3 linked regions of the Alligator mississippiensis genome follow. The protein of the gene in region 1 purifies or fractionates together with the protein of each later gene. This does not show direct contact. Links are inferred from orthologs where the notes say so. Each region holds a gene or a part of one and is shown on either strand. Other genes may lie near its edges. The genes, in order: EIF3F, PRRC2B and EIF4B.

Region 1 (9,880 bases):
GCAGTGAGCAAGTCCTAGTGAGGATAGTCAGAGCAGGTTTTTCATCCTACTATGTGACTACTCCACAAAGCTGAACAACACTAAGTGGATTAAAATTTGTTCATCTTATAGCGTAAGGTCTAACAAGGCCAAAAGTAGCTACAGCAAGCAAGGGGAGGGGCAGGGGAAGGAAATGGGAGGGGATGTGCTGCTGAGCACAAGGGGAAAGGAAGGGGGGATCTTACCTGCTTTGGGAACTTTAAGTCACCAGAGGCTCCAGCAGCACAGTCTCATCCAAAAGATGGGTGTAGCCATGCCACTATACCCTGTCTGGATTCACCCCTAATCCCTGCCTTCTGTCTTTTTCAAGGTTTAGGCTCAAGTATTTGTGGCCACAACTGTATACTGCCTAATCAGTGGGTACCCTCCTGCACACGCTCAGTAGCTGTAAGTGCATGCACAAGGGATCACCAGGGATAGGCAAGGTCACAAGGGATAGCTAGGTTAGTCTGATTGAACCCCAGCAGCCAGAACAGGATTGCCTTCACAGATTAGGAAAATGAAGAGATAACTCCAATTAAAGCTAGCAGCAGAACTTCAAAGAACTCTAAGTTCTAATACCCATGTTCTATTCTAAGCACTAGACATACATTGTTGTATAGATAAATGGCTGAGCCACTATAAAAAAGCAATGGGAATGTGTTCTATGGCAGAAAACATATGTCTGGATAATTAGTGCCATTGTGCTCAAATAGTGCTATATGTGCTCTTTGTTCCTCTGTGCCACTGTAATTTTTTTTTGAGGAATGTAGAAGGTACAGTTTAAATTAATCTAACCTGCTTGCACTACTAGGAAGAATTAAGTTCTACTTCTTTCATGCCATTTCTCAAGTTATGCTTCTAATCCTTTTGGGTTATTAAAATTAAATTCTAAGCTAAGGTTGCAGTGAACTCCTTTAACGTGAGATAAAGCACTCTATCTGAACATAGACATGGACATTGAACACAGACAATGCTAAAACTGAATGTGCTCAGACTGAATATAAAAATGCACTGTCCCTGGGAATTCCCTGAGTTGTCCTGCATTTTCCAGAAAAACTAGTAAGGTGGATTCCCATGGTTTTTGGGGGGTTATTTTTTGAGAATCTAGCGGCTCCTTTCCAGCTAAGTATTACACTTTTTAACAGTTATGACTGACCTGAAACAAATACCACTGAACAATGAAAAAGTCATCCAGACCTACACCCTCTAAAAAACTTGAAGGATCCAAAATATTTGGTTAGGTAACTGTTACTGGAATTAATATTTTTTAAAAGGTTAGATTTTTCAGCATGTGCCAGTTCAATAACCTGTACTTACAAGCTTAAGATGCCAGAGATCATAATAAAAAAGCATTCCATACACTGAATTACTGAATACAACTAATTATGTCCCCAGCTAAGAAAGCACTAAGTGAGGTACAGATTAGGTATTACTGTGAACCACTTCTTGTTTTTTTTTAATGTTGAAAATCTATCATTTCTTCAGTGTGTTATCACTCCTCCTCCTGCTTCATTTTTTGTGAAATGTTTAAAATGTGTAAATGTGAAAGAAATGTGTAGAATTCAGTCTCTTCTACTTCAGTGAATGTTGTCACAACACAGTGATTTTGGTGCCTCAGCACTATGGAATTTTCTTGTCACATGAGAGCCTCTTGCACAGCGAAGGTTTTTGCTACCATTAAACCTCGTCTGCCTCTCCATTCACCAGCCCGCCCTGACGAACGAGCAATTTCTAAATCACCTCGGGTCGGCTCCAGCTGTCCGAGACAAATGTATCTGTCTCCCCCACTGTGATAGCATTAATACATTTCTCTCTCTTTTTTTTTAATACAAGCTCTCCTTCAAAACCACTCTCTTATTTTAGCTTAGATTTAAATAGTAACTAATGAGCATATGTACTCCTTTGCATGCTCTTTTTGAGCACCTAATAATGTCTCATTCAACTCTAAGGGTAAGGGACACACAAAGGCCCCAAGGTAAGCTGGTCTGTGAACCTGCAGCATGTGAACTATTCTGAAATAACTCTCAATGTGAACGCTCTTATGTGGTAAATGCAAGGAAGCTAACCCTAGCTTACCTCACAGAAATGTGTTTATGTCCTCATAACCTAACCTAAGTTGAGGAAAAATAGATTTTTATGTCAATTTGGTGTGGAATTAATACAACACCTCAGTTTTTAGAGACAAATGGAATTTTACAGTAGTATTAGTCCAGCATCCCCATGCAGAATGTTGGTACTATTCTATGTTGATTATTAAAATAGACCAATAAAGTTCCATGCAAAAACAGGGAAAGGCTTAATTTTTTCTTGTTAACCTTGGTTTGAGTCAATGAGTCAATGTTATGCTGGAGGTTGAGTGGCTTCAGGCAAATGTGTGGTTGATTAATGGGTTATTTCAATCTTGGCTGATACACACCCTAGATCAGCAGTTTTCAATCTTTTAAACTCAAGTCACCCCCCCTTTGACTCGAGGCAACCCTCCATAACTTTTGTGAATTGCATTTCAAAAACTAATTTATTTATTATAGTGCAGGTTGAGGAATGGAGGTAGGAAAGTGGCCAGGGAGAGATGAGCATGGGTGTGCACTTGTTCTCTTCACACTTGCTTATCTCCTCACACCTCATAGCACCCTTGAAAACCCAGTTCTGGCACCCTTCCTTGTAAGAGAGAATTACACTTGCCCTGTTACTATGAGAAAGCTGGGGAGCAAACAGAACTGGCAAGGGCCCTCAAAAAACAGGATTTTTGTGATTCAGAGGGATGAAGACTCAAGGGTGGAAAAGAGCTGCAAGGACCAGCAAAGAAAAACTCCAGATGGCAAGCAGCAAAAAAGAGAAGAAGCAAGGTCCCTGCAATCACCATTAAACCTGGCCTGAGCAGGGGCTGAATTAAGAAGGGATTGTAGCCAAAAGGCAGGCAGCTGGCAGGGCTGCAGAGACTAATCAGCAACCCCTGTGCTCAGACTGGATGATGGGTCTGGCTGGCTGGAAAGGGAGAAGCTTGGAGGAGAATAAAAGGCTTGTCCTCAGACTAGAGAGGGTACTCTGATCCTGGCTGGGAAATAAGTGAAGCTTCTAAATAGACTATGGTGGTACCTGGAGGTACAGTAAAAGGGGCCTTGATGGGTAAGGGTTAAGAGGTTTTCTTTGTTTTGGTTTTTTTCCTCTTCAATATTTTTCCCCCAAGTGGACCAAGGAAGGATAAGGATTTAAGTTCACGTGCATTTTGGTTGTGAATACCTGAAGGAGCGATGGGTTTTGTTGGATTTAAGCTAGCAAACACTGGATGACCAAGAGCAGCTGTAAAAAGAGGAGGCCACACTGTAGGTGCCGTAAAGCACCCTGTGAGTTTAACCCCCTACATGCAAAAAGGTCATAAAAAAACTTAACCAGTGAGGCCAGAAGGCTGGGAGAAGTCTAGAACCTGCACTGTCAGGCTTAGTCCCAGCTGTACAGCTACTGTTGAGAAACCAAGACTAGAATAAGTGGAAGAGGGCCAGGCTTGTCAACTGCTGGGTGTTACTACTATCTGGAAGGTCTAGTCTTATCATAGCCCCTTTGCTTAGAATGGCCAAAACAATAGGAAAGAAAAGTAGTTAGCCATATTTAGGCTGGAGTCAGGCAAAAGGCAGGGTAGATTAGAACTATATAGACTAACTACATCAGGGATGTATAGCATAAGCAATGGCTTTTGAAATGAACTTCTGTTTATGAAAGCTTATGTTATGCACCTCTGACTTGGTCTATAAGGTGTAAACTCACTCTAATTTGTGCAAAACAATAGAAGCCCCTGCATGTACATTTGGATAGCGTTCCAGATTTAACCATGGCTAGCTGTGTAGGCTGACTGACTTGAATGAAAGTCAGGAGTCAGCAGAAGCATTGATGGCTGACCATGAAACAAAGCAAAAAAATGAATCTTGTCAGTTTTGTGCTACTTGGAAAGATAGTTGTTTCATCCCACCACATTCAAGAAAATGGGACACAGGGGGGCACATGCCCCCTGAGACTGGCCACTGCCAAAGCTGCCACAGGCTTCTGTAGGTCATTACTGCCCCTCCCCTCGCTGCTGACATGGTGGCTGTAGGAGGTCACCACTCGCTGCTGCAGCCAGTGTAGACGATGGCTGTGGGCAATTGTTGCTCACCACTGGTAACAGAGCAAACAGCAGCTCCCCACTCGTGCCCTTCCCCCCCCTCCCCCAAAACAAACCCCTCCCCACCAGTGGCAGCAGGGGAAGGAATTAACAGTCCTGTGCAATTAACCCCCACATCTCCCTCCCTTGGAGGAAAAAAACTATTCCCAGTAAGGATATTGATCCAAATAAGGGGATTTATTTTACTTCCAATGCAATGAAAGGTACTTTTTTACCCTAATGCAGCATAGGGAGATTTTGCTCCCAGAAATAAGTTCATGGTACAGGGAGGTAACACCATATAGCGATGATACTCCAACTGCAAGTTAGCACAGCAGTCTGTGTAATAACTTATGGTGAAAGCAGATGTTGAAGAGAAAGTATGTAAGAACAAAGATAGAAAGGTCAATGGGGTCGCTATCAAAATCAGAGGCTGGACACCAGAGCTTGGAGCATGAAGCGCTCATACGGCCTGGTGTTAGTTACCATGGAGGTGCAGAGTTGTGACTAAGAAGTGGTTTCCATTTAGTCTTTGGGCAGGAGAAGATTTCACCTGCACTCGTACCCCATCCACGAGGTATGTGAGCCTTGACTCGCTGCACAGACGGGGCACGCTCAACGCTCAGGAAAGGTACCTCTGCTAGTGCCAGGTAGCCTTCCCAGTACTTTCGCTGACAGGGCGGAACGGCGCTGCTTACGAGCCGCTCTGTCCAAGCAGCAAGGAAGAAAGGCTACGTGGGTGACAGGGTCAGTGGCCGGGGCGCGGGAAACCGGCTCGCTCTGCTGCTCCCCGGGAGATGCCGGGACTGCAAGTGACAGGCTCCCCCGAGGCGTGGCCTAGCGCGCCTGCGCAGACGGCCGAAGCTTCCCTGCCGTATGTCCCTGGAACCACCGGGCGCCCAGGCCCCACCGGCTCAACCCGCGGGCAGCCAATGAGCGAGCATTGACACAGCCGGGCGAGCGATAGGTTTAGTCACCAGCCAATCGAAAAGCTTAGGACGCCGAGAAGGCGGGCACAAGCGTGGCAGACCGACCCAATCCACGGTCTCGTGCCTCCTCTGCCGTCCTGAGGTTGGTTTGCGGCTGGGGTAGGCGGGAACTCGTCCTCCTCCTGCCCAATGAGAAGTCACCATAGAATGACGGGCGTCTGATTGAGCCCGTTATCGCCGGCGCGGTACTGCCCACCCCTCTCTGCAAAATGGCGGCGGTAGCTCCGGCGGCAGATCCGGCTACGGCGCTAGCGCCTGTCCCGGCCGCGGCCCCGGCGCCCGTCCCATCAGCCCCGGCGCCCGCCCCGGCAGTAGCGACGCCAGCAGGAGGCGCCGCCCCGACGGCGGCGGCCCCGGTAGCCGTGCCGCCCGCTCCGCCCCCGCCCCCGCTGTCAGCGGTGCTGGGCGGCCCCTTCCCCGGCGGCCGCGTGGTCCGGCTGCACCCAGTCGTGCTCGCCTCCATCGTGGACAGCTTCGAGCGGCGCAACGAGGGCGCGGCCCGGGTCATCGGCACCCTGCTGGGTAAGAGCCCGCCGGCCCGGCCCCGCGTCCTCGCCCCCGCCGGGGGCCTGCCCCGCTCCGCCCCGCCCCCCTCACCCCGCTCTCTGCCTTGCAGGCATGGTGGACAAACACTCCGTGGAGGTCACCAACTGCTTCTCCGTCCCCCACAACGAGTCCGAGGATGAGGTAGGTCTGGGTCCAGGACTCCAGCTCCCGGCTCCCTGGTCCAGCTCAGCTGCATGAGCCCCCAGCCCTGCCGCAGAGCTGTGGTGGGACAGGGCCGGGAGCAGAGGTGCCCCAGGACACCCCGGAGAGCTCTGGAGAAGGTGCTAGTTACCCCTGGTGCAAAGTACTTGGTTGCCGTGGCTGGGAGTAGGGGAAGGCAGCTGGCACCTAGGGGCTTTATGGGCTAATACAGATGGCTGATTGTTAACAAGCTGTATCGCTGCTACCGATCCAATTGCTGGTATGCTCTCTGGTAGCCTGGAGAGCAGTGTCTGGCTGGTAAGTCTGTTGGGGGGAAGGGGCATGGGGGGGGTGCAGATCAAGGCCCCCCACGGTAAGGGAGGGAGTGGGGCTGAGGCTGGGGCAGGCACTGCCCAGCCAAGGTGGAGTGCAGGACAGAGCCAGGGGGTGCGAGGTGAGCACAGGCTGGGGCCAGGGGCAGTGCTGGGCTCTTCCCAACACAGGGAGTTGGGCTGGAGCTGCTCTTGGGGCAGGCAGGGGTGGGGTGGGTGACCACAGCACTGGGAGAGGGAGTTTGGGGTGGGTTGTGACCACGCTGGAATTTGCCATAGCTACCCCATAACTCCCCAACCCCCACCGGGAAGAATCCAGCACCACCCCTGGGTCCAGCCTGCAGCAGCAGCCCACTCACCCTGTGCACAAATAAGGGGGGCTCATGTCCCCATGCCTCCCCCCAGGGGTGCGCACTGTGATGAGCCGCTCCCCACCTTCCTTGGAAGAGCCGTTTGCAGCTCTGTCCCGCACCCTGCCTGTTCTGGGTAGTGCCTGCCCCAGCCCCACTCCCCACCTCACCGCAGGGGCCTTGATTTGCGCATGCACCCACCTCCTCCCCCCAGCAACTTACCAGCCAAACTACAATATGGACCAGTGTACTGGTGTATCTCTGCTGGGAGTGCTACTTTGGAACATGCTGTTCTCTCTGTTGTGGGGGTCCTGACTCTGCCCTGTCCCCCATCTGTGCATGCACCTGGAGCATTTGGACTCCTGAGCAGGCTGGGGAGTGCCCAGTGGTGATGTAGAGTTGCATTAACAGGCCCTGGTGGCAAGTCTGTCCCTTAGTTTGATCACTGCACCACAGTATTTGCTCTACTAGGTCTGGTCTGGTAAATACCAAGAGATGGGACTCTTCTGTGAGGTGTGGCTGTTATCGTCATCCCTTCCACCTCCATTAAGCTGCCTTCGTTGCTCTTTGCTCAAATGGAAGTGCTCCTGCAGCTGGCAGCTTCATGCTTTTTGCTCTTTTTTAGGTTGCAGTTGATATGGAGTTTGCCAAGAATATGTACGAGCTGCACAAGAAGGTTTCTCCCAGTGAAATCATCTTGGGGTGGTAAGTGGTCATCCTGTACTCTCTTGCTTGTGTCTCTGGTATCTGGGGTTCCAAAGTGGTCACCCATCCCAATACTAGTCAAGTTCAGGACTCCTTAGCTTAAAGCTTCAGACAAAAATCTGCATTCAGTGTAGCATAGCTGCTGCACAAACCTATTAAACTTCTTGAAACAAAAGCCAATTTGCTGGTTAGCTGGTTGCAGAAGTGCTAGCTGTTAGCTTAAAAGCAAATATTGTTAACATGTATTAAATTTTGAGTGTGAAATAACTTTTTTTCAGTTACTTTTTCAGGAAATGTAGTTGGTATAGTATTCTAATTACTATTGTAGTGTTTTGAAGAAGTTGGTTTTCTGGCTGTATATGAATGGTAATAAAACTTTCCTTTCCCCATGGTGGAAAGTTCTTAGACCTCTTGCCTAAGCCTGCTGAAGGGAGAGAATGAAGTACATCTTTGACATTGTTGTCTGTGTAAGAAAGGATGGGTGTGTGTTTAGGGGTCTGTGTTTAGGATAGGGGTGGGCAAAATATGGCCCGTGAGCCGGATGCAGCCTGTGAGGCCATTCTATCCGGCCCGTGGGGCCCCTAAAAAATTTAGAAAATTAATATTTATCTGCCCTTGGTTCTTGCCAAAAATGACAGGAACCAAGTGCAGTAGGACCCAGGGGAAGCCTGGTGGGCTCTCACAACAGCAGGGTCAGCTCAGCCCCACCCCCTGAGCTGGAAGCCCCAGTTGGGGCTTCTGGCCTGGGACCACATGGTTGCCCCCGTGGTGCTGGAATCTCAGGTAAGGGAGGGGAGGGGGGGGCAGGCAAGGAGCCTGGGGAAAAGCTGTGCTGGGGAGGAGGGAAATGAGTGGCTCCTCCTCCACCCCATGGCTGGTGCCCTGCGCTGCAGCTACTCCCAGCCCGCTTGGGGCTGCCTGTGCCTGCCCCGGACAGCCCCGCAGGCTGCGAGCGCCAGCTACAGGGTGGGTAAGGGGCTGCTTCCCTTCACGCTCAGCACCTCCTTGTAATCCAGCCCCACTGCCAGCCTGGGTCCCACGCCGGCTCTGGGCTCACCCATCGGGGCTACGTGTGGTGATGTCAGCTGTGGCCCCCCCTGCTTGCCACGCCAGCCAGTGTTTGCCACCGCCGCCTGTGGGCTGCTCAGTGTGTGCCCAGGCGGGCAATAGCAGCCAACACTGCCTGGCGTGGCCAGCAGGGAGGCTGCAGCTGCCAACAGGCAAGTCCAGAGCCGGCGCAGAGCCCAGGCTGGCAGCGGGGCTGGGTTACAAGCTGGTGCTGAGTGCGGGGGGAAAAGCGGCCCCTCACTTGCCCCGTAGCCAGCGCTCCATGCTGTAACTGCTTGCAGCCCATGTGGGGCTGCCTGTGTCTGCTCCAGACAGCCCCACGTGGGCTGCGAGCACCTGCAGCAGGGAGTGCCAGCCATGGGGCGGGCGAGGGGCTGCTTTTCCCTGCACTCATCACCAGCTTCTTCCCTGCCAGCAAGCAGGGGGTCAGAGCTTTGTGCTGCCCCCCACCTGTACTGAGGGGCACTGAGAGTGAGCGGGTGTGGGAGCCAGCAGGAACGCAGGGCCCAGAGCAGGGTGTCAGGAGCGTGGGGCCCCAGCCAGCAGGGGCTCTATGGAGCCAGGACAGTTTTCCCTTCTCCCTGCTGGTGCAGCCCAGTTCAGCTCCACAGACCCCTGCCAGCCTGTGCCCTGCTTTGGGCCCCGCTGCTGCTGGCCCTGGGACATTGGTCCCAAGACATAGGGGCATTGGTCCTAAGATGGTGACCAGGGGCTGGGGCACCTGTCAAGGGGCGGGCCTACCTATGCAGCCCTCAACAGCCTGCCAAAACTGGGTAAGTGGCCCTCCGCCCAAAATAATTGCCTGCCCCTGGTTTAGGACATGGTGCTAGTGATTTGAAACCACTGCGTCAGTAGATAAGTGGCAAGATATACGTATAGTATCTGGGCAGGTTTGCCAGAGGAATGACATGGACATCTGTAATAGTCTGGCTTAAACAAAGAGATTTAAGATGAGATTGTCATGTGGAAGTTTGGAAGAGTTCAAGGTGTAGCTTTTTAAAATGGCCAATACCTATTCTGGCAAAAATATGCATTGGAATAAGTTTCAACCACCAGCAGAAGGTGGGAAAAATAAAACAAGTCTAAATCAGGTGGGTCAAAATTGTTTGGTCCCTTGGGCCAGATCCAGACCCACCTCCAGCAGCGCTGTGAGCCATGTCCAGGAGCCATGGAAGTTAACTCAGGCGTTACTCAGCCTGTTGAACTGCATCCCCAGTGGAGCTCTGTACTGCTGAATTTGACTGTGGGCTCCAGGAGCCCTGCAAACCAGGTGACATGGCTCCATGGGCCACACCCTTGTTTAAATGCTATGGTGACTCCAAAATGAAAGATTTGAAAGCAGTTTTACTAATTCCTAACTTTCTTTATTGTTCTTTGTGATGCTGCTGCTGCTTAGTTATGTATTGCTGTTCCCCCTTTTTGATCAAACATCTTTGGATCATTGCACAAGTTTTGGAGTCACAGCAGTGGTGCTGCTTGACAAGGTGGTCCATTTCTTGTTCCTGGCAAGGTTTGCTGCTTGCTTGCATCACTTTTTTTTACCCTTAAATTGCCAGAATTGTTAAGTTTTGCATAGAATAATTACACCTGTTT
Region 2 (10,314 bases), on another chromosome or scaffold:
CCCAGCTGTCTCAGGGCAAGCTGCCAAGATGAGAGCAAGACCATTGACCACCTCTTTTGACTCTGCCCCTATGCCAAGGGAGTGTGGAAAAAGGTAAGTCGTCTCCTTGAGGAAGCGACAGGAGTCAGGCTGATAACAAGGGAGGCGGCGCTGTACGGACACCTGATGAAACATCAGGGGTCCCAGACGACCCGCTTTGACCAGTTTGTGTCCTGCATCGGGAGCACCCTGTGGCAGTACAGGAACCCCTGATGGACAGTCACACTAAGCTTGAGCAGACAGACTGCGTTAAAATGTTTCTGAGTGAACTCTAGTCCTACTACCGGAAAGCAGTGGGAGAGGATGGAGAGGATAAGAGCTCCGCTTGGAAAAGGGACATGTGGCACAGGCTGTTCCAAGTCCCCCCAGGAAGGGAAGTGGACAGGGAGAACGAAGGGGACAACAGCACAACTGGACCTGGAGACAGCAAGGAGGACAACAAGATCAGCAGCAGAGGAAGAGACAGCAACATCGACAGTGACAAGGACAGAATAAACTGAGAAGGGAAACCCCAAATCACGGCTTGGACTAAGGGACTATGTTTGTGTTAGGGAAGGGTAGAGGGTGGGTGCACGTGGGTGCAGGGGAGCGGGCGCGGTTATTGTAACGGGTGTGTGGGTTTCTTAAGGTGGTTTTAAAAAAAAGTGTGATGGAAGTCTATGATAGAGGATGCATATATATAACTATATAGATATAGATATATTTTAATTAAAAAACAAGCTGCCCATGAAACTAGGGGTGACAGTAGACATTTTCACCATTCTGACGGTGCCTGGTTCTGAATAAAGCGGCAGTCAGTAATACTGAAATCTTAAGAGGGTCCTGGAAATTGGGGTGCAAGGCCAAACAGCAATGAACTGAGCGAGTGGAGAGTTCACCGGGGTCTATGGAGTTGATCTCACTAGCAGCAGGGCTCGTGTCGGTCCTGGTAATTATACGGCAACAGATACCTTCCTGCTGATCAGGAGCAGCTTGGGAAATGGCCCTGTCTTGGTCTGCTTACTGTACAACCTGTTTCTATCCCACAAGCTACCCACGCTGTTGCAGGGGTGTCTGTGACATGTTTGAGTGCTGTATGCTGGGAACAGATGGATGAGCAATGGGTTTGAGTGCTGTGGCTGAAGGATCTGCATGTCATCGGTGGATGTGCTATTATCTTTTGCTTGTTTATTTCACCTCCGTGCACTCGGCGCTGGGGCTTCTTTTAATTGGCACTTAAATTCCCTGGCCTTGGAATGTTTCCTTGGAGATGCACAGAGAAACTTTGGAGAACTGCTTATTAAAGCAACGTGTTTGTGAACCTGAGTGTGTTTGGTGCAGCCTGCATGAGCCCCTCCTAAGCCCTGTGTTACAGGTGGCTCCTGTTGCAATCACCAAGCCATGGGTCTAGAAGTGGGGGGGCAGCTGCATCTGATGTTATCAAGTTTCTGGTTTCATAATGGAGCCTTAGTATGGTATGATCGCTAAGGTCTGCTCCTTTACTTGTCGGAGTCCAGAATGGCGCAGGCTGCAAGTAGGAGGAGATGTGGATTTAGGGGCAATCTCATGGTGTTAAGAGGGGTGCAGCAGGTTGCTCCTAGCTAGGTAGAAGCAACCATGTGGCAGCACTGTCATTACTGCAGTAGAGCATTATCCTGAGCTCCCTGGCATGTTGATATGCATGTAATATTCTGTACTTGTGATGGGCAGGATGAAGCTCTCCAAGCAATGATATAGATATAGATATATATGTTCAGATGTGTGGCTGTTTTCCTCACCAGACCTGGAAGAAGGCTGATGAAGAGAGAAAGCACCAGACTAATGCCCTGAATCTCTCAGAGAGAACGGGTGAGTGGGAGTTGCTGATGTTAAGAAGAGGACATGATGTTCCATGTGAGCGGCTGTAAGATGAGGAATGGAGGGACTGGCCAGAGGTCCTGTTGAGGGAAGAAATGAGAAGCAAGAGAAGTGAGACGAGAGTTGGGTAGGATGGAAGGGGAATAGCTTCCTTCCAGAAAAGGAGAGAATTGGACACATAGACTGGTCGTTCTTGCTGCACTTTCTTAGTAGCTCGATACCTGGCAACTCTGATAGGTTTGCAGATCCAGCAGTGGGAATGTGACACATGGGCTAAGAAGCTGCTCTTGCATACCCTCCTCCCCTGTGTTAGCCTGCTGTTAGACCAGTCATTTCTCCCACCTGCAGAAAGACAGGTGGCCTGGTCCAAGATGTCTCTTCTGTTTGCCAGGTGGCTACCACTGCTTCTGAGACCCAGTCTATGGGACATATCCAATAACGGTGTCCACCATTGGGAGGGCGGGAGACTGAATGCTCTACTACCTTCTAATAGCCCCTGCTGATAGCCCTCCAACAAAGGCTCCTCTTTCTTTATTTCAGAGTGATCAAAGTGTTTCTTCTCTATTTGGAAAAAAAATCCTAGCCTGGTTTTCTCTAGACATGTGGCTCAAAAGTGGCAGAATTTAGAAACTTCAGCACAGAAGGTGTATCCTTCCCAAGTGTGAAGAATAGCCAATATGTTATGATCAAGTCAAAGCAAATGAAACAAATCACTTCTGAGCTTTTGCAAAGAGCTCTTTAACTTACTGGTGTGTTGGCTCTTCTTTGTATCTGGATGTACACACAGCTCTCCTGGACCAAGGGCTCAGCAGGCCAAAGGTGCTGCTCTGATACTGCTTTTGGGATCGTTGGCAAGAGATGTGTTTGTTGTTGACTTGCTGATATGCACCCAGCAGATTCACCCCGTTCCAAACAGCCTACCACACTCCCTTGGTGTCAGGAAAAAGGGAAAATTGTGGAGGTAAGGAAATGCTGGATCCTGAGATCGACTATGCATCATTCTGTTTTCCTAGCCATGCTGTTAAAGCTGTAGGAGCAAGGGAACATTCTCACTCAAGTCTCTAATTGAGATCTTGAATGTCTCAAGTAGGTCAAAATTTCCCCAAGTGACTTGTGATTTGACTTCTTCAGCTTTGGGGTATCTAGACAGAGGCACTGAAAGTGCTGGGCACTCTTCCCAGAAATCAGGCTTCAGGTGGGGCACAGCACCCAAAAAAATCAATGTGCCCAAGACCACCAGTTGCTTTGGAAAAGCTTGGCATAGGTCTTGTAGGATGCTTAGCCTGCTTTCCTCTTGCCAAGGAACTGCATAGCCCCGTACTAGTAGGTGTTACAGGGAGATAGGAAATTCTCTCTGCAAAGCCCCTGAAACACTTTGGAAGAACAGTGCAAAAAATGTGAGTTCTCTTTGAGGGGGAGAACTGCTTATTAAAGCAACATGTTTCTGAACCTGAGTGTGTTTTGGGTGCAGCCTGCATGGGCCCCTCCTAGCCCCCAAGTTACAGGTGGCTCTTGTAGCAATCGCCAAGCCATGGATCTAGGAGATGCATCTGATGTTACAAAGTTTTTGGTTTCATAATGGGGCCTTAGTATGGTATGATCACTAAGGTCTGCTCCTTTACTTGTCGGAGTCCAGAATGGTGCAGGCTGCAAGTAGGAGGAGATGTAGATTTAGGGGCAATCTCATGGTGTAGCTAACCAAAGGGATGTCCAGAAAGCTTTGGACGTCATTAAGTTGATGGTAGCAGTGTAACACACAGACACTAATCGCTGAGCAGTTCAGAAGCTGGGCTTTGGAGCCAATACTCCAGTTGCATTTTTGGTGTGAATTTCTTATTAAGAATGTAGTTAACATCATGTTAAACTCAAACCCTTCTCACCTCCCGCCTGCCTGCATCATGTTTCTTTGGATAGCTGCTCCCTCTGTATGGCTAGATGCCTTCTGCTAATACAGTTTCTCAGGGCAGGGACGTCACCAGTATTCTGCTGCATCCATTTCTATGTATCGTTTAAGAGAAAAGAAATTAAATATAGTGGTTTCAGATTGAAACCCTTCCAAAGGGCAATTCCTTTTGGCTGTCTTTGGACTCCCTGATTACAAAACCAAGGGAGGATCATGAGTGAGGCTTTAAATAGTGTAGAGACATGGCAGGAGAAAAAAAGGCTTTGCATTTAACAGCAGGTTAATCACCGCAGCCCAGATCTAGCAGGCAGGTATCAGTGTCATAGGACCCCTACCATAGCTGTCCTTACTCAGACTCTTTGCTGGTAGTCCTAGCAAAGGGGTGAATTCAACAGCCCGTGGGAGCCAAATTTGGAACAGCGTTTTCACTGGTGCATGGTAGGCAGCCTGGGGAGGAAACCTGGTATTTGTGCTCTATCTTCTTTCCAACAAATCCCAGCCAGTTGCATCTCCTTGGCTTCTTGAACTGTCTCCCTCTGCCTTTCATAATCCCAGAGCCTGAGTCTGCACGCTGTCTCCAAACGCTGTCCGCGGGCACCACCGAGCAGAAAATAAACCTGCTTGGCTTTCTTGTTGTTTGATGTTTGACGCCCTTCATGACTTGTTTTGGTGCTCCTAGACAGAGGGTTGGAAGTCAGGCGAAGGTTAGGGAACTGGAAACAAGAAAGGAAATGATAATAAAGACCTCAGAAACCTTCAGATGAGGCATTGGGCAGCGACTGTTTGTTAGACTGGGAACGGAGTGAATGCTTAGAAAGAAACCTTTCAGAGACACTGCTGTTCAAAGCTTGCTGGAGCCAACGAGAAGATTGCTAGGGTGCAATGCAGCTTGGCATCCTCAGCACCCAGCTGGATCACTGCAAAGCTCAGGCGAGAGTTAGATACCTGGAGGCAAAGGTGGATCACTTCTGAGCTGCCCAGGTGCTCACGTATGTTTGCCTAAGGAGCTTAGCAGCCCAAACCGGAGATGTTGCCTGACCTCGGATGCCTATTGAGTTTTGAGGCTTGTGGGGAAAAGCTAAACAGCATTGCAGTTGGCATATAAGGTGCCCGGAGTCTGGCTAAGTCTACTTTAGGCATTTCCAGGACCAAACTGGATCGCATCCCTATTGACTCCAATGGGCTGTGGGTCAAGGCTTCTGTCAGTCAGCATCTCCTCTCCTCCCTCTTTCCCTTCCTTAACTTCTTCTCAACTCTCACCCCCTACCTGCCTGCAATGAGAAACTGGAAAATCAGATGTCCGCTTGGCAGCTCCTTGAGCAGATCTGCCCAGTCCCAGCTTGTTTCCCCACATTATATTTCCCTCCCTTCATTCACACTGAGAAAAGATCTGCCAGACTTGAAAGGGAACAAACTGGCAAAGGGCCTGGGGGCTTGGCTCTCCAGGCTGCTGGCTGCCCCCTTTGCTGCCATGCCCATGCCAATCCTGGTGTGTGTGCCCCGACTATCCTGGCTGCCCCCAAGCCCCTGAGTTTCTGGGAGCCCCTGAGACCTTGGGATTTAGCAGCTCTGCACTTCCCCCATCTCTCCTTCTCTTTGCTCTTTCTCTTCCTTTTTGTCTCTCAAACACACCTGCATTTCCTGGGCTCACAGACTCATAGAAAAGGAGGGTGGGAAGGGCCCTCAGGAGGTCACATCTAGTCCAGTGTTTCTCAACCTGTGGGTCGTGACCCAAAAGTGGGTTGCAAGAATATATGAAAGAGGTATGAACAAACTTTAAAAATGGATTCTCTTTGAGAGGAGAAACACATGGGAAACTGTGGCTTTTCCCTTGCAGGCTGGCAGAGTTCCCCCTGCCCCATACACCCACCCATTGCCCCACACCCTGGGAGCTGGGGCTTGGAGACAGGGGGCAGCGTCGGGTGGCCATCATAGAGGACATTCTGGTTTTCAGAGATTTCTAGCCACCCTCCTGCCCTGCCACTACCACCGCCGTGCCCCCCGGCTCCAGGGGGCACGCGGCATTCACCCACCAGTCCAACCCCCTGCTCAAAGTAGGACCAGCCCCAACCAACTCATCCCAGCCAAGTGCCTCTGCCTGGCTCTTCAAACCCCCTATGCATGGAGAGCCCACCCCTGCCTGGGGACACTGTCCCAGCGCTTCCCCACCTTCCTAGCCAGAAAGTTGTCCTTAGCATCCAACCTAAACCTCCTTTGCTGCAGCTGGAGCCCTTTATGGCTCCTTGTTCTGCACGCCCAGCTGCATCCCCCCCGCTTCAGGAGGGCTGCAGGGACCCCCATCCCCTCTTCCCCGCAGGAGCCGAGCGCGCCGCCTTCCCCGGGCGCCCTGCAGGGGGCGCTGCGCGGCGGCGCGGCCCGGGGAGGGGGAGGGGCAGACACAGGCAGCGAGAAGCCGTCTCGCCAGGCTCCCGCCGCCGCCGCCGCGCAATCCGCAGCCATCCTGCGCCCCGAGCCCCCATCGCCCCTCCTGACTCGGCTCCCCAGGCACAGCCGGCTCCCCCCCACCACCACAGGTGGGTATCGGGGCCGGGGCGCGCGGCTGGCGGGGGCTATCGGGGGAGATCGGGGCTGGGGGGGGTGGGACGAGGCGGCTCTAAAATGGAGCCCGAATCCGAGGCTGCAGAGAGCCGGCCTTGGCCCGCCCCCTCCCCCATACCCTGCCTGGTTGCTGCCCCCAGGGGCAGAGCCGGGGTGCAAGCCCCTTTGGGGCTGCCACCAGTCTGGGGGCTCCCCCGCCCCAAGAGATTTGGGCACCTCCTCCCTGCAGCTGGGCAGCCTGCATTTCTGCTCCCCCCAGCCCAGCAGCCAGGGGGGCTGGAGAGGGGGGGCAGAGGGGGTTGACCCCCCTCCACCCCTGCAAGGCAAGGGTTTTTTGTTGGGGGGGGGGTTGTATTTTTTTTAAATTTTGGGGCTGAGTTGCACCCTTCGGGTGTCGAGCGTCTTCCCCCAAGACCCATTGTTTTGGTTGTGCGCCCAGGTCCTGGGAGGCCGGCGCCGTGCCCCCGGGTTTGCTGCTGTGGGTGGAGGGCTGCGCCGTGCAAAATGCTGTATTGTTTTTGTAGGGCATCCCCCCACAAAACAATAAATGCTGCGTTGCAACAAGAAGTCCAGGCTCGGGAAGCCCAGGGCTGTTGAGGGCATTGTTAAAGTCGGTCGGGGCGGATGGGGAAGCCGCCGGGGCAGGTTGTTTCTCCCTGCAGCACGCAGGAGATGTTTTGGGTGCGATGGGGGCATTTCAACAAAGCCTTTGGAGGGGGCGCTTGGGGAGAGGCGGTTCGGAGGCCGCTCGGGGGGCGGTTTTGGGGTCCCGATGCTTTTCGGTAGATACAGCCAGGCTTTGTTTTTAAGCTATTTTTGGCCCCAGGAAGGAATTCATCACCCCCTGGGCTGGGGTCACCTGCGCTGGAAAGGCTGCGGGTCCTGGGATGGCAACGCATGTTGTTGTTTTGGGGGGTTTTTTTTCCCCCTGCACATCTGATGAGAGTTGGCGGCTGTTGTTTTTTTTTGTTTAGCGGAGCTGGGCGTAATGGGCAGCGATGGCAAACGCTCCCCCCACGCTGCTGCCGCCTCCCCCAAACCCGGTCGAAGCCAGGTTTGCACAGACACGAGCGCTGAATTTTGCCGTGAAAGTTTTGGCTCCGAGGCAGAGAAATGGCGAGGGAGGATCCGCGTTTGCTGGAGCAATGCTTACAATGGAGCCTTTTTGTTTTAATGCTGCCTGGGTTTGGAGGGGGTGGGGAGAAAACAGGCCTGCAGGAGAGCCCTGGTCCTTAGAGCGATCCTTTCCGGAGAGGGGTATTGACTCTGCAGGTTGTTGCAGGCCCTTTGCTTTGACGGACCTTACTGAAAGCTGCTGCTCACTTTACTGATTTTTTTTTTTTAAGAAGCTGATGGTTGTAGCTTAAAACTTTTATTGCAGTAGTAGCCCCCTCTTGCAAGGCACTCTTACAGAGGTCAGGAAAGACACTTGCTGCTCCCAAGAGCTGGCCTGGCACTGCTGGCTTCTAACAGACTGGCCAAATATAAAGTTGCAGGGTGTCATGTCAGGGCCTGTTTTTTCTGGGGGGCTCTGCTTGCTCGTGGCCTGTTATGGATGTGCGCTTGCTTTATGATTGCACAGCATCCTGCTTTGGACCAAGAGCCCATAGGATAAAATCGTCCAGAGGAGGGGAAGAGGGAAGTTGCGTGGGGTGGTCTCTACCTGATCCCTCAGGCTAAGTGGTTGCATGTTTTCTTCTGTGGAAACAGATTATTGAAAATAGTCCCAATTCTGCAAGGGTCTATGAACCGGCAAACTTGTTTGGAGCCGCACTGATGGTCCACGTGAGTGCTCCCAGCAGCAATGAGGCCTTAGAGATCCCTGCCCCTCTCCCTTCCCCCCCAACAGTTGGCTTAATATGTTATGAAATGATTGATAATGTGTCTTCCTTGTGACCTGTCTGAAATGCCTCTTTTTATGGGGTTGAAAAAAAGTCTTCAGCTGGATAACAGCGCGTGCTGAAGATTGGCACAGCAAAGAATTAAAAAAAAAAAAAAGAAGAAATCAAATGCAGCTCTCATCCCCTGCTGTGTGTTTGCCCCGAGTTTGGCTGGGACGTGGAAGACAAGCCAGTCTGTTTCCTTTTATTTCCTAGCCACTTTGAGCATGTGGTTGTCTGTGGTGATTCAGGAGATGCTAGCCAAATTTCAGGGCAACATTTAAACTAAAAGAAAAACATATTGGAGCAATAGATATAGGTGTGTGTGTAGACGTACAGAATAGGAGTGTGCATCTTTGTTTTGGGATGCAAAACACTTTCCTGTGTTGTCTGTAAATCGCCCCATTGTGATTTCCCATCAGTAGTTTGGGGCACTAGTGCACACGCATTTCACAAACTCCATCCAACAGCAATATCTCCACTTCTTTACTCGCACTCACTCGCACACACTTTTTTTAAGTTTCACAAACTTGGTGTCTAGCAGCAATATCTCCACTTTTTTTCCCCTTGACTCAGCAAATTTTTGTTTGGAGTTCAATCGCTCCATGTGCAATGTTGTCAAATTAAACATTGCACCATTTTGTCTAGTGCAGAAGAGCCTGAAAGTAGAACATTTTCGGCCAAACTGGTTGAAGCAGAGCAGACTGCAAAAACCGGTGAAAATGTAGGATTAAAAAAAAAAAAAAAAGTTGTAATAAATCTGAGTCATGAAAGGGAGGACTGTTTGTTTAAAGATGACTGCCTTGAGATTTGCCCCGTTCATATTAAACTTTTTTGCAAAACTTATACTTAGTGACTAATTTATTTAAGGCCATCCTCCTAGAAATCACCTGTGAAATATGAACTTTCATTTCTACCCAGGAGAACTTTTACAATCTTGTCTCCAATGCCTGATGAAGGGTGTTTGTACCTGAAAGCTTGCAATTAAAGATTTTTTTTTTTTTTGCAAAAATCTTGATGGTCTAATAAAAGAGATCATCTCTGCTATGAATCCTGATTGCCTTAAGACTTATCAAGACATTGACTTACCTGACTGGGACAATATTAAAGGCCATGTTTTACAGGGATTATCACGGTGGGCCTGATCTCTCTGGCGGCAGTGTTTGTGAGGACTGGTACAATATAAAATATAATCTCCAAGATCTCCATGTCTGGGGTGCTGGTATTTTTGTATCACTCTTGGTAAGGAGCAGGTCCTTAACTTGTGACTGTCCTTTCTGAACTGCAAGTGTTGGGCCCTGCTTTAGGATGCCATTTAGGGCCCTTTCATACACCTGAGTTTCGGAGTACCGTGCCTTTTGTTGGCTACAAAAATACCTAGTTAGGTTGTTGGGTCCTGTTTGCATTTGTGAGCTGCTCAAGGCTTTCCTTGTACTTAACTCTACAATTGGAAATACCTGGGGACCAGGAGGGGAAAGATTCACAGTGCTATTACAATATAAGAAATAAATAGTAGACTCGCTGATGGCTGCTCTTAGTACAAAGCCATCTTGCTGCTGGAAGTTTCCCCTTGTAATCGGGGCTCTTGTGACTGCCCAAGCTGAAGTTGTGGGCTCAGGAGGAACTTCTAGGAAGTCTTCAATCTGAAGCACAGGGTGGGTGGATTTTAGGCTGGCAGGAGTGAGACATCCCTGTGCCCACCCCAGGTCCTCACTGGTCAACTTCCCATTTACCCTGTTGTTTAGTAATGAAAGTTATGCTTGATCCTCGTTTTTCACTTAATTGCACCTCCAAAGTGGATTTTGCTTTTCATGTAGCATTGATTCATTTCAGGCTGGTAATTTTACAGCTCCTTATTGCTAGCCTGTCATTTGGAACAGGAAAAAGTGTGAAAGCAGGTCTTTCAGATCCTTGTTAGTGGCCACTAGAAACAACTTGGGGCTGGTGGGGGGAGCTGCATAGTTCTTCCCGAGAAAGACTAGTTTGGCTGGCTATTTAAATGAACTGACTTGGCCACAAAAAAGGCCAGGTAGAACTATTCCAGGAGAGCCCCTTCCACGGGAGGTCCATACATACCTGTAACTGCATCACAGAAGA
Region 3 (9,719 bases), on another chromosome or scaffold:
CTTTGAGCACCAGTTCATTCAGTCCCCAGCACAAGTGTCCTTGAAATGGGTTTGAATGCAGAGACCCCTATACACAATCCAGTTAGGAGTGGCAACTGCACTTCAGTGGCAAGGATACCTCCGCTAGTGTCAGCAGCGGAAAGCGAATACTGTCTTTTAAGCTAAATTGCCTTTCACGTGACAGAAGACCTCCGCCTGCAATGCTCTGGCAACTGGAAGGGCAGTTCCTGGAACCAGATGTGTTGAAGTCAGACAGAGGGTTCAAAAGCAGCAACTTCAGTTCAGTATACTTACTTTCCGCAGCTGCCTGCATGGTAACTGGGCAGGTCCTAGACAAAGATACATGACAGTTGTTTGAACCGCTTGTCCTTCCCCCCCTACCCCAGAGTTTAAAGCCAGTAATTAAGTCCAATGATCCTGGGTTTTTACTATCTCAGTCAGTTGCCATGGAAGCAATTGTGAAATCACACATTCAGCACTGCAACTTCATGGCGAGGCTGGGGGGAGAGTGAAGGGGGGGGTGTGTGTGCATCAAATACCTTGAAACACAAGCAGTAAGACCAGAGGTCTGGAAAACAAGAACTGGGAGCCGTACAGTTCTTCCAGCCCCCAAGTTGTGTTCTAGCGGTGGGCTCCAGTGGAGAGGCCACAATTCCCTTGGCCAAGAGGAAAGCAAAGACTCAGTGCTGTTAAGAGCCACATGCCAGGGTATTCACCTGCAGGAAGTTCTCCCAGGGCACTCTGCAAGCCCATTTTACTCCATCATGCAGCAGAGAAGTGGCCAGGACTTCTCAGGAGCCCTTCAATAGCACTCAGGCCATCCAGGTGAGCCCTGTATTGGCAAGAGGCATCTACGGACAGCTCTCGACTATGGGAGTTACAGGACTTGCAGTTGGGCCCTTACACATCTGCACAAGCACTGTTGCTGGAGCAGTTTCAAAGTTCACTTACAATATCAGCTTAAGGCATAAAGAATTTGTAAAAATAACAACCACCTTTATAGTCTGTGCGACTCTGCAACAATTCAGTCCTTTAGATGCTTCTTTCCCCTCCAAACTGTATAGGCAGAATCTTCCTATTGCACTGAAAAAAGAAAAACCAAGCATCTTTCCTGCCTTGCTGCTACCTTCCCAGTTCCTGCAACACATTAGCATGGCAAGCATTGCTAAGAAGTCTTGCTGGTTGCATGAATGAAGCTAAAAATAAATCAGACTGAAATGTCCAACCTGGGGCAAGATTCAGGAGTTTTCAGCGGATGCATTAGCTGCTTCAGTCGCAGAACATTAAGGAAGTCGCATAGAAGCCACATGCTGCCCCCACTCTGCAGCTTTGGAGGCTTCCAGAAAAAAAACATCCCAGGTTCTTAAGAGCTGGCTTAAGGTGAAGGAGAAAAACTGCAATGGTCTCAAGTGCCTCCCCTTCCTGCAAAAGGCTCTGGGGAGCAGCAGTTCCACCAATCCAGGATGCCATGGGGAAGCCTCTGCTGAAGAAATACAAACAGGGGCTGCAAGAGCTTTTTTTTAGAAAGGTGCATCTCTCGGGGAATCTAGGCACCGGTAAAGCGCTGCAGCCTCCAAGAGCTGGGAAGGAAGAGCAGGCTAGCCCTCTGGAATGGTTAAAGTTCAGTTTGCCAAGGGTAAACTCATGGAAATATGACGTCAGCAGTGGATAAAAACTGGCTGATCAGCAGCAGTGACCTACTGCAGTGCCTGCCTTGAGAAAGGAAGCTGAAGAACCCTCCTGCTGCAGGCAAGTGCAGCTGGAAAAGAGAAGCTAAAAGGTGCGTTCCACGCTCAGACACCCCCTCCTTCCCACCCAGACCTACGAGTGCCGGAGATGGCTTTCTAAACCCTGGCAAATGGGCTGCTAACTAGCAGCCGCCTTTCCAGAAACCCTGCAGGCTGGCTGTTTGTTCAATTTGCATCAAATGGCTGACAAGTCACAGGCAGGAGAGGAACAGTATGAAGCAACTTCTGTTGCAGGAGGCTGTGCACTGCTTATGCATCACCAAAGCTGTCACAACCTTGTAGGGGCTGGGAGAGACCAAGGCAAGGAAAGGTACTGGACAGAAGCAGCCCTCCTAGGCAGGTGAGGCTTTCTGACAGCCAACATCCTCTTTGCTCCTATCAAGGAGGCAGCCATCTCTCAACCACTCCCCATTTATCTTGTGAGGGCCAAGCCCTTCCAGGATGTTTCCTTAACATCTACGCTTAAGGATAAAGGAGATGGGTCAAATGAAATCCTCCTTGGACTTCCCCCACTGTTATCTCCAACAACCATACCTCCTTGACACTGCCATTCCCGCCGAGATGTAGAGGCACTTGCTACGAGCACCCTGCATTTCCAAAAACATAGGGCTGTTTTTATCAGTGCTCATTCAGGAATTACTGAGCAACTTGACCCAAGTAGGAATAAAACCTAATGCTCATCTTTCACTATAGCAATGGAAAAGCTAGCAACATATTTTTTACTCACCCCATGAAGTTTTCCCAAGCAAGCCTGAGAATAATATTCCGGGTTCAGCTAGACCCATATGACAGTACTCGTACAATATACTAAGCCCATGGCTTTTGGGCCCCGAGAGCTTTTTTTCTCTCTCTCTCTCTCTCCTTTCCCTCTTGATCTTTAGCTAATGGCTGGGTTTGGCTTCAGCTTCTGCTCTGACGGTCCCACCAATGCACACGCACACTGTGATCAGCTATAAACACGCCTGTGCAGGCACCAAGGGAAAAGGGAGGTGCATCTCCTGCCTCTGCTGTTAGCTAGGAAATATGGGACTCTACAGTTCCGCTGGCAGCACGAACTCCAGATGACGCCTGTGAACTGAAGGGTGTTTTAGTGCCGGCAAATCGCACTTTGGATCCACGCGCCCGGATATTGCCGTCACATAGCGAGAGCAATGTTTCTGCAGTAAAAACGTCGTGCGCTTTGGCCAGAAAGGGAAAGAGCGCTAGCAGCAGTTGAGGGAAGGAAGAGAACGGCCCTATCCGTTGCACTGATGCCTCGACTCCCCCCCCCCCCGCCCCCAGCGTCATTCCCCTGCGCCGGTTCCACCTTGCGCACAAGAAACACAATGCAAAGCACGCGTGCTCTGCCACTTCTCTTCGGGGCGCCGAATGAAATGACATCAGGGGAGCCTTATGCAGCGGGAAACTGCAATTGGGGGGGGGGGAGGGATACAAGAGAGTTTCTTCTTCTTCCAAAAAAATATAAAAATAAGAGGGGCTCAGACGAGGTAGCTGCAGCGTGACCCCGACACCTTCGTAGACCCCGCGCTTCGCAGTGCAAACTCAGTGCCAGGAAGCGTGAAAGCCGATGGTGCGTAGGAGATCGTGGGACAAAGATGCGACTGGCTATTTTGGCCGACTCCAGGCTCTCCCAGCCCTGAGGGACCTTTTCAAGGGGTTGGGGTTTTTTTTGGATAACCCCCGCAGACCTCCCAGCATGGGGCAGGGGGGACGGGAGGCCCCGAGACCAAGGAGGACCGGTGGGGGGGTGCACATGGGGGGGGGTGGTCCGGGGTGCCACGAGGCCAGGCCACGCGGGGGGGGGCGGGGCCCGGCCGCGCCCACGTGGGCGCCGCTCCTCCACCGCCCCCTCCCCCTCCCGCGCCTGCGCAGTGCGCGCCCAAGGGTTCCGCCCCCCCTCCCCCCCGTCAATCACCGGCCGCGGCGCCAGCCCAAACCGTTCCGGGAGAAGGGGATGCGGCCCCGAGGGTGTGTGGGGGGGAAGGGGGGCCGCGGGGCTGGGCCCCCCCCGGGCGCGGGGCCGGTAGGGCGGCGGGCGCGGGCCTTGGGCCGCGGCGGCCGAGCCGCACTCACCTGACGCCGCCATGTTGGGCCGAGGCAGAGAAGGCAAAGGACCCGGATGCGGCCGTCACGTGACTATAGCGGCGCGCCCGCCCGCCCGCGGGGCGGGGCCTCGGCTCGGCTCGGCGCGGCGGCTCTGTGGGGCGCGGCAGGCGGGCGGCGCTGCGCGCTGCGGGCGGGCAGCAAAGAGGCAGGGAGGGCGCGGGGTTCGGCTTGGCGTCGCCGCCCGCGCCGGGTTCTCTGCCTCCCCCCCCCTCCCCTGGCATCTTGGGAGAGGGGGCAGCTAATTGCACCAGAGGGCAGTTATTGGGGATGACTGGGGGCAGTACTGCAGTTTGGAGGGGGCCTGTGATTGGGGGCAGTAGAGCAGCTGGGGCAGTTTTGGGGGGGAGAGGGCTATGGGGGCAGTAGAGCAGCCAGGAGCAGTTTGGGGATGGGAGGGGTATGATTGGGGGCAGTAGAGCAGCCAGGGGCAGTTTAGGGGGGGAAGGGGGCAGCTGGAGCCCAGGGCGCTGCAGCCAGCTCTGGGGTGGGGGCTGCCGGACCCTGGGCTCACTGCACCAGTGCAACCAGTCCGGTCACACTGGACCGCTACAGTCGTGCCCCTGCCCGCTGTGGCTTTCCTGGGCCAGCGGAGGTGGCGGGGCAGGGATTCAGCTTTGCCAGCCCCGCGTTCCCCGTCCGAGCGTGCCGCATCGCTGTGGCACGGTCAGGCCGACCTACGTATCTTGGCTCGCTGACGCCGTGTTGGCCCGTGGCGCCGCGCGGGGTGCAGCGTGGAGCTCCTGGCACTGCGGAGGAGGCACATTCGCCTGCTTTTGCCCGGCCGTTTAGGACGGGAAGCGAAGGGTCATCCCCCGGGGGCAAGGCTAATGCTTCCCCAAGGCACCGGGAGTCTTCCCACAGCCCCTGATGGCCGGCAGAATGGGATCGGCTGCCAGGGGACGTGACAGTTTTTTACCCCTCGTCCGAAAAGCAGCCCCGGCTGCAGCACGACTCCTGCCCTGCCCCTGGCACCGCACTGGGGCTTCAGGGGCAGAGCCGCACGGTGCTGGGGTGACGCTTCACAGCTGGCTTGGAAGCAAATTTGGCCCCCTCTGTGGTGTGCAGCTCTCCACCTTCCTACGGGCCCAGCCAGCCCTGCTTAGCTCATGGCTGGACCATGACAGCCCAAAATGAGGGCTTTCGATGCCAGCAGGGAGTGGGCCCGCTGTTCCCGAGCATCCGTGAGATGCCCAACCCCGTTTTTTATTTATGAGCAAGAGTCTCCAAAGGCCCCACTTCTCCAGACTGTGCTTACTATTACTGCTGGCAACACAAGCTTGACTCTTCTCGTGCACCCATTATTACGAATGGGGAAACTGAGGCAGGGCGATGTGTAATTGCCTTGAGACTACACGGGACTAGAACCCAGGCGTCCCGGCCTCCCCGATCCCTCCCATCCCAAGGAAGCCTGTCTCTTGGATTCGGCCCCCCTTACCTATGCAGAGGTGAGAGGGAAGCCACGTAATCCTTGCTTCCCTGGTCCCCGGTTTCTGGCCGGGTCCCCCATGCCCGGGCGCCGTCCGGTTTTTGCTAAGGGACAGCCCCATCTCGGCCCAACCGCTGCAGAACGCTGCACGCCGCCGGGTTCTCGCCATCTGCCTTAAAGGAGCTGGCAATGTCCAAGACCCCCGTCCTCTTTTGAAAGAAATAACCTCTATCAGCCCCTTTTCTGGCTGCAGATTTATCCCGAACAAACTGGGATGCAATAAGGGGTGATCACACGTCAATTGAAGGAGGGAGACGGGACAGGGCTGTTCTGCGTTCTGTTCGCAGCGACTCCCTTCTTGGTTTTGGGCCAGACTTGCTGTAAAATGGGGTTAAGAACAAAGTTAATGATGATAAATGGGCTAGGATGCACACTGAAATACTTCGAGATGATGATACAGTGTACGTAGGTGGAAAATATTAATGAAGAAGTGTTATTTTCTGTCCCAAATGCCATAATCCCATAATCCAGCAGATTAAATGAGGCTGGTGTTTTCTATAGGGATGATCTTCCAGGCACGGGCGAGGACTGGGAATAGGGAAGGAACATTTGCCTATGCTATGCTCTTGTCCATATATGCCATGAATGCTATGACATTCATGGCATATATGGACAAGTATGAAAGCAATTGGGAGGCAAGAGGGTGTAGCAGTTAGGGCACTGCCCTGGGGGCATCGAGACATGAATGACTCCCTCGCTCCAGTGTTGCCCCAACCCCTGCCTGTCTGGTCTGTTTACATTCCCAGCTCTTTGACATCTCACCGCGTTCACAAAGTGCCCATCACTGTTACTGGGATATGCATCATCATATGTGATATCTTCCTCTAGGGCGCCGGTTGTCAACCTTGTTAGACTCATGCCACCCCTCATTAGACTCAAGGCACCCCTCCGAGGATGGCAGCTCTGGTTCTCACTCGCTTTTTGGCTACAAAAAAAAAAAGCAATTCTTCCATTGCAAAGAACAGAGAGACTACAACAGGTTTTAATGCTATGAATTCCCATTTTAAATTTCTGGGTTCATCTTATGAATCACGTTTGAACATCTAACACTGCATGGCACCCCGCAGCACCCTTGAAAGGATCTGAAGACACCCTGGTTGAGAATCACTGTTTTAGGCCATGGAAAGGGAGCCTGTTGTGCTGATGCTGCCTGACTGGTGCATCGGAGACAGCCTGGACAGCCCTTTCGTATACCCCCCGGGGACCTGTGGATGGAGGAGGACAGACAGCCATAGGAGAATACCTCCAACTACTCACTAGTCACTATGGGTAGGGACAACATTATTTTTTTGGTAAAAATATGTGTCTTGTATATAATAAAGGTTTTATATCTATCTATCTATCTATCTATCTATCTACATACACACACACACCTTCTAGTCACTGATCATTGTCTCCTTAACCCACCATAGGTACCGCGCAACCATTACAATATACTGCACCCATAGGATAGTGCTCCCGTACACCCGACTGCAAGGCATCTTCTCTCTTAAACCCTTGTCTCTTAGTCCTGTCCCTGAATACAGGGTTTAAAACTCAGTTCACTCGCTGTTGCTTCTGCTGGAGGACCTGCTGCTGCTGTCACTGCTGCTGCCCTCATTGCTATCTTCTGATCCTGTTGTCTTGATGTCCTCTTCTCTGTCACTGTCTGTTTTCCCACTGGGGAGGTCTTGAAAGATCCTATGCCGAGTGTCCCTCTGCCAGGCGGATTTGGCTATGTCTTCTGCTACCAATTTCTGGTAGTAGGACTGAAGTTTGCTCAAAGCCATTTTAACGCAGTCTACCACTTCGAGGTTTGTGTGTCTGTACATCAGGATGTTCCTGCATTTCCACAGGGCGCTCCTGACGCAGGACACAAACTGATCGAAGCGGGCTGATGGGCGCCCTTGGTGTTTAGTTAGGTGTCGGTACAGTGCCACCTCTCTTGACAGCTGTCCAACCAGTCACTGCTTCACAGAGCTGCTTCTACACCTCCTTGGTGTACGAGCAGAGCCATAGGAGGTGGTCGATAGGCTAGGAACAGAATTTACATATAAGCTGGTATAGAGGATTGGAAACTGGTTCAAATCTGTAACACAACAGAAGTTCATGCACATAAGCCGCTTTCAGAAATGGCTGAAACTGGTTTAAACCTGCATGGATGTGGTATCAGACTTAACCGATTTTCGTTAAATCAGTTTATTGAACTTCTGTCCCAGATCCCCTCCAATTCAAGTTAATTCATGGTCCCCCAGCATCCCAGGATGCTTTGCACCTCCTGCATAAACCCCACCTCACAATGTGGATGGGCTTGGCCCAAGCTGTCTGCTCAAACTGAGCAGGGAGGGATGCTTTAGTGCCCCCCACCCTGCTTCTGGCCTAGGCCACTGCAGGCATGTGGCTGCATTTCTGGAATCAACAGTGCATGTCTGTTCACTTGCTTCTTGGTTCAATCTACGCAGCTTAGACTAACCCGCAAAGATTGAATTGATTCAGCCTCAGGCTTTTTGACTGTCTGCACTGTATCAGTCCCTGTGCTTCTTCCAGGGAGCTGCCCTATTCACTCAGTGTTCCTGCCACGAGATGGCAGCATCACATGGAGGAGGCAGGGTAGACTTGCACCTTACAGACTAATCAAAGTAGGTATTACCTATATAGTGCCAGTTTTCATGAGCCCAGGCTCACCTCATCAGATGCTGTGACAGGACAGGCATTGTGCAGGGTAGCAAATGGAGACAGTGATTTGAACACAAAAGACAGGGAGGGAGGGAGAGGGGGCAGTGCTGGGAGAGACAAGCAGTAAACCCCAGGTAACAAGGGGGTCACAAAAGCTAACCCAGGTCATGGGATAGGAAGTCTCTGTTTAAAGCACACTTAACCGGTCCAGTCTGGGGCGAGTTCTCATTCCCCAATTTCCCATTCAAATTGGTTTTTAAAGGTTTGCTACCTAAAAGCAGCCATGCTCAGGTCAGCAATAGGGTGTCCAAGGTGGTTGAAGGGTCTGCCATGGGTCTGCTTGGACTCACGAAAATTTGTGCAGACTTCAGTCAGTCTATAACAAGGGCAGGGGTGGATCCAGGGGGGCTGCACTGATGCATTTGCATTCCCCCCCTACCCTGTTTGATCTCTGCTCCAACCAAGGCTTGGTCTGTCTGGCAGTGGCAGCAGCATTTCCAGTCAAGCGGTGCTCAGAGAGTCAACCGATTTCATGGTGCATTGTCATCTCCCTGATCCACAGGTCTTAACAACCCTCACTTCTTTATAATGGTCTTGATCTTCCACCAGTCATGCTGTTCTTGCAATCCCGCTTTCTGTGGCTGCTTCTGGTTATGAAGCTCCTATTTCCCAGCCCTGCAGGTTGTTCTGAACTCATTCCAATGAAGTTCAATTTGTTTTTGCTTCCATCTTAAACTGAATAATGCAGCCCCGGGCCCCCTGCCTATTGGCAAAACTTCTAGTTTATTTTTAACTGGAGAAAAACAAGTGATGTTTTATATGTGAAGATGCACCTCACCGTCTGCACCCTCCTTCTCAAAAGTCTAGATCCACCCATGAACAGGGGTGCCAAACATATGGCCTGGGGCCTGGATCTGGCCCATGAGGCATGGCCCCTGGTGCTACCCCTTTTGCTGAGCCGGACTGGCTCCTGGCACATTACCCAGGATGTGCGCTGCCTGCGGTGATCCCTGGGGCCAGGTCCCAGGCTGCTCTGCCCCTGGCTGTGCCTCAGCAAGCAGCGTGGCCCGTGCAGCCCGGGACGTGGCCCCAGCGAGCAGCACAGGTGGTGTGGCCAGGAACCAGCAGCCTGCTAGGGCTGGGTCCTGGGGCAGTGCTGCCTGCCAGGGCCGGGTCCTAGGCTGTGCCACCTGGGTTTCAGCAGGCGGTGTGGGCAGTGCAGCCTAAGACCTGGCCTCAGCAAATGGTGCAGCCTGGCACCCAGCCCTAGAGGGTGGTGCAAGCAGCCCAGAACCAGCCCTGGTGGGGCAGCTCGTGGGAGCCAGGTCCTGGGCTGCACCACCAGTCTGGATGGGTGTCCTAGATGGCCTGTGGGTGGGGGAGAAGGGTCCATGGGCCTCATCTGGCCCACAAAACCAGATGGGTTTGACACTCCTGGTCTAGCAAATAAATCTCCCTCCTACCTGACTTCAGACCAGGGCTCACAGGACCATGAGCAATGGAGTTCACCAACAGCCCTCTGAATCCTGAGGATTGCATTGAATCTGGGTACAAATCTCAGCTGATTGCAGCAGCTCTGTCATGTGAACACCACCGGGAATGGAGAACCGCCCCAATAAGCCGTCCTGGTCAGCTCAGTTGCCCGCCCAGTTACCAGTCAGTCCTTGGGTTCCAGTCTGGGTTCGTCTAGCTTCAGCTTCCCAGCACCGGATCTGGTTGCAGCT

Evidence for each region.
Region 2: the proteins of EIF3F (region 1) and PRRC2B purify together in Homo sapiens (affinity purification with mass spectrometry; 3 studies listed by BioGRID and IntAct, counting the BioPlex papers as one, with this or other methods). This does not show direct contact. The link is inferred for Alligator mississippiensis from reciprocal best matches to the Homo sapiens genes EIF3F and PRRC2B.
Region 3: the proteins of EIF3F (region 1) and EIF4B purify together in Homo sapiens (affinity purification with mass spectrometry; 3 studies listed by BioGRID). This does not show direct contact. The link is inferred for Alligator mississippiensis from reciprocal best matches to the Homo sapiens genes EIF3F and EIF4B.

What each region holds. Positions count from the first base shown.
Region 1 is NC_081829.1:25,033,785-25,043,664, forward strand, and holds the start of EIF3F (eukaryotic translation initiation factor 3 subunit F), read left to right. Parts: upstream 1-5,339; 5' UTR 5,340-5,354; coding exon 5,355-5,667; intron 5,668-5,761; coding exon 5,762-5,832; intron 5,833-7,139; coding exon 7,140-7,219; intron 7,220-9,880. UniProt on the Homo sapiens protein: Component of the eukaryotic translation initiation factor 3 (eIF-3) complex, which is required for several steps in the initiation of protein synthesis.
Region 2 is NC_081835.1:59,687,821-59,698,134, forward strand, and holds the start of PRRC2B (protein PRRC2B), read left to right. Parts: upstream 1-6,161; 5' UTR 6,162-6,312; intron 6,313-10,314.
Region 3 is NC_081838.1:9,389,481-9,399,199, forward strand, and holds the start of EIF4B (eukaryotic translation initiation factor 4B), read right to left. Parts: upstream 3,902-9,719; 5' UTR 3,835-3,901; coding exon of another isoform or gene 3,822-3,834; intron 1,101-3,821; exon of another isoform or gene 1,084-1,100; 5' UTR 996-1,083; intron 330-995; 5' UTR 314-329; coding exon 295-313; intron 1-294. UniProt on the Homo sapiens protein: Required for the binding of mRNA to ribosomes. Functions in close association with EIF4-F and EIF4-A. Binds near the 5'-terminal cap of mRNA in presence of EIF-4F and ATP.